Notamacropus eugenii: one gene and its partners. The protein of the gene in region 1 interacts with the protein of each later gene in a pairwise test. Links are inferred from orthologs where the notes say so. Each region holds a gene or a part of one and is shown on either strand. Other genes may lie near its edges.

The links.
Region 2: the proteins of SH2B1 (region 1) and NTRK1 interact in a two-hybrid assay, tested with the Homo sapiens proteins (2 studies listed by BioGRID). The link is inferred for Notamacropus eugenii from reciprocal best matches to the Homo sapiens genes SH2B1 and NTRK1.
Region 3: the proteins of SH2B1 (region 1) and INSR interact in binary tests that used the Homo sapiens proteins (3 or more experiments, as listed by UniProt). The link is inferred for Notamacropus eugenii from reciprocal best matches to the Homo sapiens genes SH2B1 and INSR.

The regions. Positions count from the first base shown.
Region 1 is NC_092872.1:46,581,875-46,585,618, reverse strand, and holds the start of SH2B1 (SH2B adapter protein 1), read left to right. Parts: upstream 1-934; 5' UTR 935-2,236; coding exon 2,237-3,280; exon of another isoform or gene 3,281-3,490; intron 3,491-3,638; coding exon 3,639-3,740; intron 3,741-3,744. UniProt on the Homo sapiens protein: Adapter protein for several members of the tyrosine kinase receptor family.
Region 2 is NC_092873.1:381,127,267-381,131,010, reverse strand, and holds the start of NTRK1 (high affinity nerve growth factor receptor), read right to left. Parts: upstream 2,255-3,744; 5' UTR 2,232-2,254; coding exon 2,011-2,231; intron 1-2,010. UniProt on the Homo sapiens protein: Receptor tyrosine kinase involved in the development and the maturation of the central and peripheral nervous systems through regulation of proliferation, differentiation and survival of sympathetic and nervous neurons.
Region 3 is NC_092875.1:51,122,190-51,125,933, forward strand, and holds the start of INSR (insulin receptor), read right to left. Parts: upstream 2,312-3,744; 5' UTR 2,019-2,311; coding exon 1,928-2,018; intron 1-1,927. UniProt on the Homo sapiens protein: Receptor tyrosine kinase which mediates the pleiotropic actions of insulin.

The DNA of each region.
Region 1 (3,744 bases):
AGGTGGGAATTCTTTCTCAAGGTCACCTCAGCCTTCCCACATCCCTCCTCCAGGGGGCGCTGTCCTCTTCTTCCTAGAACGAGAGAATCCGGCGCTCTAGGAGGCCACCTGACCTCTCTGTGACCTCTAGCCGGCTGGAGGAGGCGCCGTCCTCTCTCTGGTTTCACGCTCCCCTGCCTCTGTTTGGGATACTCTATCGCGAGGCCCCGTCTCTATGGTCGGTCGGCCGGCCAACCTCCGTCCTCCTTACGGAAGATGGCAGGGGAGGTCCTAGTCTAGACTAAGCCATCTCGGCGGGACGCCTCAGGGGATGTTCCACCCTGAGGGGCGAGTGGTGGAGACGCCCGAGTGTTCCCAGCGCCTCCTCCTCCTCCGCATGAAGAGCCCCTATTCCTACACCCTGGGAGAACGGTCTCTATGATCCCCGTGCCTCAGGAGGAGGAAGTCGGCGGGGAACGTGCCTTTCTCTCTCCGCGGGCTTATCTATGGTCTTTTTTTTTCCTTGATGGGAAAGGGGGTCCCGGCGCCTGCGCAGTAGCTGGCTGGTCGCTGGTCACTGGTGGTTGGGGGTGGGGGGGGAGCGGGAGCCGCCGCTGCTGCTGCCGCCGGAGCAAACCGCGGGGACCGAGATGCAGGTGGGACCGGAACCGGAACCCCCCTCCTCATTCTCCTCTCCCCACTCGGACCCTCCCCCCTTCCCCGGGCCAGGGACTGGAGGGAAGGCCGAAGGTCCCGGAGCGGGGCCGGGCTCGGAGGCCGGGGGCCGGGGCAGCGCCCCGAGGGCAGCGCCCCCCGGGAGGCCGCCGGAGCGGGCCGCCATGGGCGGAGGGAAGGCCGGGCGCTCCCCGGAGCCCCCCACCCCGGAGGCGCGCTGGGGCCTCGCCGCCGCAGGGCCAGGGGTCGGGCTCGAGGAGCTGCGGCGTCTGGGGGGACCCGCCTGGGGTGAGGGCCCCCCGCGTTGGTGCGCCGTGCGCGGGCTGAGTGTGGGGGCGGGAGGCCTCCCTCCTTCCAGGCCGCTTCCTGGGGGTGGCTGTAAAAGGCCCCCAGAAGGAGAGGGAGGAGGCCGCTCTCGCCCCGCCTGGTCCGCGGGGGGCCGGCCCCCCGGGCCCTGCTGCCTCCCTGTGGGATCGCGGTGATGCTGAGCCTGGGCTCGCCCAGAGCTTCCCGTCCTAGCGGACCCTGGCCAGAGCCTGCAGCCCCCTCGTTGGGGGTGTCAGGCCCCCGTTGTCACCCACAAGCTGGGCTTAGGGGCGGCAGGCGTGCCTCCCTGGCAGGCTGGCGTGAAAGTCAGGCGGAGGACCGTGCGTGTGCGTGTGCAGTAATAACGCGCTGCGGGAGAGCCGCTGTGGGTCCGGCAGACATTTGTCTTAAAACCCTTCCTAGCCTGGGCACCCAGAGATGCTGTCAGTCCGGCCTGGACAGACGCGGGACTCGGGGCTCCCGGTTCCCAGCCTGGTTTTTCCCAGAGTCCAGTGGCTGGGGGCTGGGGGGCCAAGGGCCTGGGTGCCCGGGTGCCCATTTTCACAGCTTGTCTAACCTTTAGCTCCTTTTGCTTTCTTCCATTCTTAGAGAAGATAGAAAACGGTTCATCCCTGCCTTCTCATAGTTCCTTTTCTTCTTGTGACTGAGGGCAAGGAGTAAGGCAGTACTCCACATTTTATGATAGAAGCTACTGAGCGTTTGATAGAAGGGCAGGTGGGAAGGTGTGTGGGAAAGATGCCTTCAAGGCAGTGCCCTCCTACCACAATGCTTAAAATGCCAACGAGTCTTAGAGAGAGAAGCAAGGTGGCAGTCATCTACCTATTGCTGACCTGTTAGGGCTCCTTGGAGCAAGATATTAGATGGATTTATTCCTGAGAGAGAGGTGATTGGAAAGGAAGCTTTGTATCTCTAAAGGGTTTTTTTGTGGAGGATGATGACCAGCTTACCTTTAACTCTTCTGGGATCAAAGCCAAAGAATGTGGGCTGAGATTACAGGAGGAAGATGGAGGTTAGCTATCTGGAAAAACCTATCAGTGCTTGAGAGGTGTAAGAACCTGGAATATGGGAAGGAAGCTAACATGTTTTGAAGGACTTTCTTGAATCTCTCTGAATCAGAGAGGGACGAGGTGAACAGAAGGTAGTGTGGACAAGTGGATGGCTTTTCAGTGGGGTTGGAACAATTGGGGAATCTCTGGTACCTGGGGAAAGGTCTAGAGATGGTTCTCTATAAGCTGTAATCCTAATACTACTATATATGTGCCTCTTTTTCCCTTCCACAGTTGCTGCAGATGACCCTGAGTCTTCTGGCCTCCCCCCCCACTTCCTTCCCTCCCCTGGGTCCCCCATTCTCCATTTCATCTGGCTCATCATGAATGGTGCCCCTTCCCCTGAGGATGGGGCTTCCCCTTCTCCTCCCCCTTTGCCACCACCACCACTACCACCACCACCTCCTCCCCCAAGTTGGCGGGAGTTCTGTGAATCCCACGCTCGAGCAGCAGCCCTGGACTTTGCCCGACGCTTCCGCCTCTACTTGGCTTCCCATCCCCAATATGCAGAGCCTGGGGCTGAGGCAGCCTTCTCTCGACGTTTTGCTGAGCTCTTCTTGCAGCACTTTGAGGCAGAGGTGGCCCGGGCCTCAGGTTCCCTTTTGTCATCTGGTCCGATCCCCCTGAGTCCTGGTACGGAAACTCCATCTCTGGAGAGCTGCAGGAACAGTGGGCCTCTGACTGTGTTGGGTCCTTCTCGATCCTCTGAAGACCTGGCTGGCCCTCTCCCTTCTTCAGTCTCTTCATCCTCCTCAAAACCTAAGCTGAAGAAACGTTTCTCCCTCCGCTCTGTGGGCCGATCAGTACGAGGCTCAGTCCGAGGGATCTTGCAGTGGCGGGGAGCTGGTGATCCCCCCTCTCCAATGGGACCCTTAGAGACCTCTGCCTCTGTGCCACCTGTCCTGGGTGGAAACAGCAATTCCAACTCCTCTGGTGGGGGTGGTAGCACCAATGTGGGGCCAACTAGTGGTGGGACATCCCCTGGGGAAAGATGGACACACCGCTTTGAGAGGCTGAGACTAAGTAGGGGAGGGGGACCCTTAAAGGATGGGGCAGGGACAGTGCAAAGGGAGGGACTACTGAGCTTCATGGGAACAGAGGAGGCAGCTGTTGGTGGAGAAAGTCGAGGGGGAGGTGGACCTGGAGCCTCATCTGGGGGTGGGGGACCACCAAGGTGGCAGAAGTGTCGCCTGCTGCTTCGGAGTGAGGGGGAAGGAGGAGGAAGTCGGCTGGAGTTCTATATCCCACCTAAGGTGAGAGAGAAGGGGAAGTGTGACTGGGGAGAGATGATGTAGAAGCCTTGCAGATAGAACCCCAGAAGGTTGCAAGCCTATGGGCTTTTCCTTTTTTTTTTTTTTTTTTGAAACTTGGACCCATCTTGCTAACTCTTGACATTTGTTGAGTGTCCAGGACTAGGCTGGTGATATCAGCAGTCTTTCTGCCACCTCCACATTACTTACAAGGTAGAGCAGGGAGCCATTGGGCTTGTGTTGACAACTCTTTGGTGAAGTGGGAAGAGTGGGGAGGCCAGGTTCCCCCGCCCCCTCCCAGGAAGTAGAGGACTGTTTTTGAGCCTGAATATTGGGACTCCTACCGCCTCTTCTACCACAGGCATCCCGGCCCCGGATCAACATCCTGTGTTCTACCATCACAGATGTCCGGACAACCACAGCCCTGGAGATGCCCGACAGGGAGAACACCTTTGTGGTTAAGGTCA
Region 2 (3,744 bases), on another chromosome or scaffold:
TTGTTTTCTTCCTCTGGGCCTCAGTTTCCTAATCTGTAGAATGGGGATATTTGACTAGACTATCTTTAAGAGCCCTTCTGGATCTTACATTCTAGGTTCTATCACTGTGTGAGTCCTGGCTACAGTAAGTGCTTCCTTCCCTTCCCTCTCTTCCCCACCCTTGGCTAGAGATGCAGGATGGTAAATACGATGCTAAAGCAGAGGCTAGGTAGAAGATTCCATTTCCTTCTCTCCCCTTCATTCCTTCACCTTTATGGAGGGTTACCAAAAAATACTCAAGTATTTTCCAGCTAATTACTGCTGCTGGGCTTCCCTGCTTATCCCTTCAGTTATCTGAGTAACTTCCAGACAGTTACTACAGAATATAGGGCATCTTCTAGCATGTCAGGGTACTTTCCCCGTGTTTACAATGCCACACAATTCTAAAGGACATTCTCAGAAAACCCTCCCATATGCTAGGGAATTTCCTCCCCAACTACAAAATAAAACACTAAAAAATAGTCACTACAAAATATTCAAGTACATTCCAGTTAATCATGGCCGGATATTTTTCAACAATATATCTCATGTACTATGTGATGGACGAGTATACCGCCCACCCCTAGCAGCTGCCCCCAAAATGGAGTTTTTTCCAGTCCATTACTACTGCGTGTATTTGCTGCTTTTGCAGACACCTCAAGTACTCCTCCTTCCTTCCCTTCTCCATAGATTTCCTTCGGGGACTCAGTCTAGGCCTTACTTTCTGTCAGCTGCCTGGTTCCCTCTCCAGGCTGTGAATCTAGGTCCTGAGTATAAGGAGGTAATTGGGGGGAGGGAGGAAAAGAGAGAGAGAGAGATAAAGAGATAGAGAGAGAGAGAGAGATAGAGATAGATAGAGAGAGAGAGAGAGAGAGAGAGAGAGAGAGAGAGAGAGAGAGAGAGAGAGAGAGAGAGAGAGAGAGAGAGAGAAAGGAACCCCAAGGAGAGGGCTGGGAACATCCTTCTCCCATTGTAAGCACTTTTACTTCACTGCTGTCAAGAGAAGTCAGGGGATCACTAGTCATTCCCAAGGAAGGGGTGGGGACAAGGGCCCTCAGATTCTAAAATAGGTGGGGTGGAGAAGTGACCCTTTCCCTTCTATCCCCCAAGCACTGAGACGTATGAACTGTCTCCTACCAAAACAACAAGCTTTCCCCAGTTTTTTCTGGGTAGTGTCACTAGGGAAGAATAGGGCCATATACAAGCTGGCATTAGCTGGAGCTGCCCAGAGCATAAGAGCAGAGGAGCTGGGGAGGGGCTCAGGGAATCACTGGGGGACTGGGCTAGAAGGATACTGAAGGGGAAGATATGGAGAAAAGGGCATGGGACTGAGAGGGGCACTGAGAGAGGAGATCAGAGGGCTGGAGGGGGCACCAGGATAGAGGAGAAGTGGGTTGGGGGAACATCTGGAGAGAAAGGCAGGGGGCTAAAGGGAAGTAGGACAAGACAAATACTAGATGAGAAAGAGGCTAAAGGAAAGGAGAGGATCTGGGGGAGAGGGATGGTGACTGAGAGGACCCCAAGGAAAAGGGGCAGGGGCTGGGGTATCAGCTCTTAGAGCATCCTCTACTCCCTACTGAGTCCTGTCTGTGCCCAGCTTGGGAATCCCTAGAGTGAGGGGGTGGGGGTAGAATACTGTTTCTAGGCACAAGTTTAATTTAAAAAATTCTACTGTTGGAAAATTTCATTGCTCCCCACTCCAACCCTGGCTCCCAGAAGAAAGTCCCAAGATGTGGGAGAAAAAAGAAGTTACCCCTACAAGGTACCCCACTAGTCTGTGCCCACAGGAGTGCCCACAAGGCTTGAAGGGGCAGCACCCAGATCCCTGGGTTACAGGGAGCAGAAATTTCAGTCTCTCTCCCCATTCAGTACCAGGGACCACCTGCTGGCCACACCACCCTGCCAGGGAAGCTTCAAGTCCATGCCTCCCCCAGCCCCCCTGCTCAGCTTCAGCTCTCCAATGCCCATCCCTAATGCCCAGTGGGCACTCACAGCTCCGTCAGGTTCTCCAAGCTTGTCAGGTTCTCCAAGCTTGTCAGGAAGCCAAAGCTGGTGAGAGCTCCTGGCTTCGTGCAGAGCAGCCCTGAGGGGCCAAAGGGGCAGCAGGCATGGGGGCAGTGGGCAATGCCCGAAGGCACCAGAAGCAGCCAGGCTAGCAGGGCCCAGGGGCAACCCTGCCTGCCAAGCTGCCCGCTCCTCCCGGCTCTGAGCATCTCCCCCTCACTGCCTCGGCCAGCCTGACTGCACTCACCCAGCTGCTCCCAGCCCAACCTCCCCCCACCCACCCCCAACATGTGGACGGGGCTGCTTTAAAGGGACAGCCGTCTTAAAGGGGAGGAGCTGGCTCTGTCCCTCTCCCCCAATATCCCTCAGCCTCTGTTCCTCTCCATGAGTACTCCTCAGCCCTCTCCCCTCTCTTTATGCCCACCCCCCACTCCTGTCCGTTCTCTTGTGCCCCCTGCCCCCTTCACCAGTGTCTCTCAGGCTCCTACATCTCTCCTTCAATGCCCCCAGCCCCCTCCTCTTTCCCATCACCCCTCCCAGTCCATGCCCTTGTCCCCCTATAACCACTCAGCCCCCCACCTTTCCCATATTATGCTTTGGCCCCCTTCTCTCCCCTAACCCTTCTCCCTTGGTCTTGCCTCCTCCCTCAGTACCCCTTTTTTCCTCCCCACCCCTCAGTGACCCCAGACCCCACCCCTCTCCCTCAATATCCACCCTCCCCCCCACAGTATACCAATCCACTTCTGTTCTCTCCCCCAGTTTCCCTTTACCCCTTCCCCTCCTCTACATGCCCTCTTCCTCTAGGTTCCCCCCCTCCCAGCTCTTGCCTTTTCCCCTTATGTCCTCCCCTCCAGGGGTTATTATTCCTCCAGGGGTGCCTCCACCTACGTATTCCTGGGACATGTAAATAATTTTCTGTGGACTTAGCTCTTTTTGGTTAACAAGGCCAGGCAGGGAAGCTAGCTTGTTGCTTCCCCACCCAAGATGCAACTGCATTATTGCACCTCAACAGGGATTCCTGGGCTGGGAAAAGACAGAAACCCAATGCCTCTGTCATCATCCTAGGCGTCCTCTGTCTCAAATGACCCATGGATTTGGGGGTGAGTAGGGGTCGTGGATTCATCACTTATTGAGCACGGGACAAAATTATCTCGGAGATCTTTCGCAGAAAGGAAAAGAGAGCACTGGAGGTAAGGGGCATTAAGGTGAGAATGTAGGAAAACGAGAGAGGAGATACCAAAGTGGAAGAGGCAGAGGTAGGGAAGAGGTCTCCCCAAAACCATCAGCAAATGTCAGATCTGAGCGGCGCCTACATCTGGGAGGGGCACGCGCCTTGCTCTCCTTAGAGTGGCCACGGGGTGGCGCCAGAGGCGCGTGTGTTTATGCTTTTAGGCTAGGGTAAAGATATGAACTTGATCTGTGATTTTATTTGTATTAAGAACTCCCGGATGAAGAAACTCCCTCTGCAAAGGCACATCAGCAACCCCTTTGCGATGTATATATAGTTTTAGACGAATAACTTGGAAGTCCTCAGAAGTTAACTGACTTGGTCAGGGTCACACAAGCAGCAGTATAGGAAGGAGGTGAGACTTGAATCCAGGTTTTCCCGATTTGGAGGTTGCCTCTCCATATATTTCTATGACGTCAGTCGGTCAAAAGGCATTTATTAAGCTATGCGAGACAGTGTGCTAGATAAAGACTGAGGATGCAAAGAGAAGCAAA
Region 3 (3,744 bases), on another chromosome or scaffold:
AAAGATAGAGATAATTACCTTCTCCCATGTTTGGGGCTTCTCTTTGATTTATCAACGCACTAAATTTCTCTTAGCTCTAGAGCTGAAAGAGATCCCAGAGGCCATTTAATCCAACCCCTTCATTTTACAGATGGGGAAAATGAGGCCCATGGAGGTTGAGACTTGCAAGTAGTAAGCATCAGAGATGAAATCTGAACCTAAGGCTTCTGACTCGAAGCTCTGTGAAACAAAGGATGGTGTCTTGATCCTTGACAATTTCCAAGCCCCAGAACATGTGCAAGGTGGAATGGTGAAGAAAAATGACATCCCTCATTGTTCTGAAACCCAGAAGGTCCTCTTCCCCCTTACATTATTTCTGCCAGATTTAAGGATAAGAATGTGCTATCAATGGTGCCTGAAAAAGAGACAACAGATCTCTCCCCGTCCACATTCAGATAATCTGAGCTCTGATGATTCTCAATAATAATAAAAATAATGAAAGGGTAATAAATCCCAGCTCAGTCAGGAGGGCCTTAGAAATTCCTCAGAGGGCCCCTGTGAATCTTGGGGAGCAGTTGCTCCTCATTCACTGTCTTTCTTGCTGCTTGCTGCTCCCCTGGGTTAACAACTTCATTGAGAAGCCCCAAACTCTCCAAGCCAGGAACTAAGGATGTGAAAGCACCTGTAAAGGCCCTGAGAGTCAGATGCCCCACCGCCCACCCCAAGATAGAGCAAACAGGCCCAAGAGCCAAAGTACTGTCCTAACCAAGCCTTTCCATCTCTCCTGAGTTCCTGCCCAGACATCTGCTGGAAGCCCTTTCCTGAGGCACTGTTCTACATCTATCAGAAAACCAGGGGATGGAATGTTACAAGGGAAGACCCTGATCATCAGCCAGGGCAAGAAACTTTAAACAAGAGAAGGAACAAAGCTAAAGTTCCTTTGTTAGGGTTAAGAATTAGCAGGTCTCAGCAGACAGTGAAGGAAGGCTGGAGTGCAAGTCAGACAGCTACTCTCTGAAGGAGCTCTGTGTGTCACCCTTGGCAGGTCTCTGGCTCTCTGAGTCTCAGTTTCTCTTTCTGAACAATAAAAGGATCTCTAAAGTCCTTTGGTTCTGCAAGTCTGTGGTTCCATGTGGCTCCTACAATATCAGAGCCAGACTGGGACCTTAAGAGATCCTCCTGGCCAACCCCCTCACTTCATTCCAAACCATCTCCTCCCCTATAACTGACCCAGGCTGGGCCTCCGCCCCTCCCACAGCAGTTTGGAGTTGGGAACAACCACAGACAAAACCCTGAAAAGAACACACAGGGATGGGGCTGGGGGGTGGGGAGGTGGGAAGGGCTCATCAGGCTGCTTTTCTCAGGACCATTGGCTCAGAGATTCCCAGAGGAGAAAGGCAAAATCCTGGCTTTTAAATGTAATGCCAGACCTTCCTGAAGAGCCTCAGGACCTACTCCTGGGGCAGACATTCCTGAGATTGAGAAGGGGGGAAAGTATTCTTCAGCGATCACTGATTAGTACCCCACCATCTCTACCAGGTCAAAGCGGTGGTGATGTCGGAGGTGACGGTACCGAGATGTGGAAGGAGGCCATGATTAGATCTTGCTCCAGAACACCCAGGAAGGGTCGGGGATAGGGAGAATCAGGGGGTCAGAGTTGAGGGGACCCCCAGTGGGGGCTCACAGAGGACAGAAAGGAAGGAAGCCAAGGTGGCCCAAGCTGAGCTACAGAACCTGGGAGACGTTGGACCTGCCTGAATCCTAGGGCTGGGACAGATCCTCATACTGGGGCCCCCCGGAGAGACCTGTGACTGAACTCTGGGAGGTCAGGGGCCAAGGTCAGCTCCCTTCGACCGGGCCGTGGCAGCCCCAGCGTGTAGGGCTGCTCTGAGGGGCCCCTCGGACCCAGGGCTCAGGGATAGAGACCCTAGTAGTAGAAGATACTCACCTTCTCCGGAGATCAAGCCACACGAAGTGATCAGCAGCAGCTGCAGCAGCAGCGGGAGCAGCCCGACAGTCAGCGGCCGCACGGCCCCCATGGCCCTGGGGACACAGACCGACTGACAGTCGGGGGGCGGCGGCAGATCGGGGGGCGAGCGGTGGGTCAGAGAGCCCGGGGCAGGCGGGAGCAGGGGGCGGCGGGCTCCATCCCGGCCCGGGCGGGCAGGGCAGAGCGGGGCAGAGCACGGCAGGGAAGGGCAGCGCGGGCCCAGGCGGGCCGTACCCACGGTCCTTTAAACGCCCCGCGCAGGAAATGTGGGTGGGGGGCTGCCCGCCCGGGGGCACGAGAGGGGCCCGGGAGGGGCGTGGGCCGGGGCCACCTCACTCCTCCCCTCCGCCTCCTCCCCCTCCTCCGCGCTGGCTGGGCCGCGTCCAGCAGCAGCCCCGCGCCCCGCCCGCGTGCCCGCCCCCTCCCCGGAGATCGCGGCCCCGGCCCAGGCCCGTAACCCCCCCGCTGCCCGGGGCTGGACGGCGCGCCTGCGGATTGGGCACTGCCCCCTGGAGAGCGGGCCTCGGCCGCGTGCTGGGCCCCCCCAGGCCCCTGCTCTGGCCCTGTCCCCTCCTTCTCGTCGGCGGCCCCTTCCCCGCAGGCACCAGCGTTCCCCGCTCCTTGCTCCTCGCTCCCCGCTCGAGTCTGGCCAGTAAACACAGCGGCCCCGTCAGCTGGGCTGGGCTGGCCCTGGCCGGGACGCTGGAAAAGACGGCGCGGAACAGGAGAAGGCTGGAAGGGAGGGCGCTGGGGGCCCCAGAGGCGCGGGGGCGGGAGGGGAAGAGGGAGATGAAAGGGGCGGGGTGGGGCGGAGCCAAAGGCGGGGGTGGGGGAGAGGAGAAGAGAGAGGAGGAGAGGGGGGGAGCAGGAGAGGAGGGGGAGAGAAGGAAGCCCCCGGAGGTGGTGCGGAGAAGGTGGGGTGAAAGGAAAAAGGTTCATGACATCCGATAACCTAAGGGCCCCTCAAGATCTGTGTTCTAAGGACCCTGCCAGCTTTGATGTTCTGTGTTCTAGAGTTCCTTCCAGCTCGACATTCTATGTTCTAAGGTTCATTCCCTCTCGGACATTCTGGGTTTCCCAAGGACATTTCTTTAGTCTATGTTCTAAGTTTTCTTCTAGCTCAGCCGATATTTTAAGATCCTTTCCAGTTATGCGTTCCAACAATCCTCCCAGTTCTTGACATTCTATGTTCTAAGGTCCCTCCCAACTGTGACATTCTGTATTCCAACACACACACACATACACACTTCTTGACATTCTATGATCTAAGGTCCCTCACAGGTTTGACAATCTGTGTTCTCAGATCACATCCAATTCTCACATTCTATGTTCTGTGTTCTATGACTGAATCTCAGAACAAGACCTATAAGAGTTCAGAGGGAATGACCCCTTCGTCCTTCTTGCCCTTCTGCTGCTGAATTCCTACCTATCCTTCAAAGTCCAACTCATAAAGACATCTCCTCCAGGAAGTCTTCCTTCATTTCCCCATTACCTAGTTGGTAATATCTTCTCCTCACATAAATATTTGTCTCAAACCTTTGTAATCCATATGTAATATTTGTTATAGCTATCTAAACCATAAGCTTCATGAGGAAGCACATGGTATCTTACCCAGTTTGTATCTCCTTCAGTGCGTAACACCAGGCTCTGAAAACAAAGGTACTTAATACATGTGAGGCAAAATAACTCATTGATTCTGTCGCTTGTTTTAGCAGCTCTCCAGGAAGGGAGTTCTGTTAGGAAGGGAGAACATGAGTTCATTGTCCTCAGCTTAA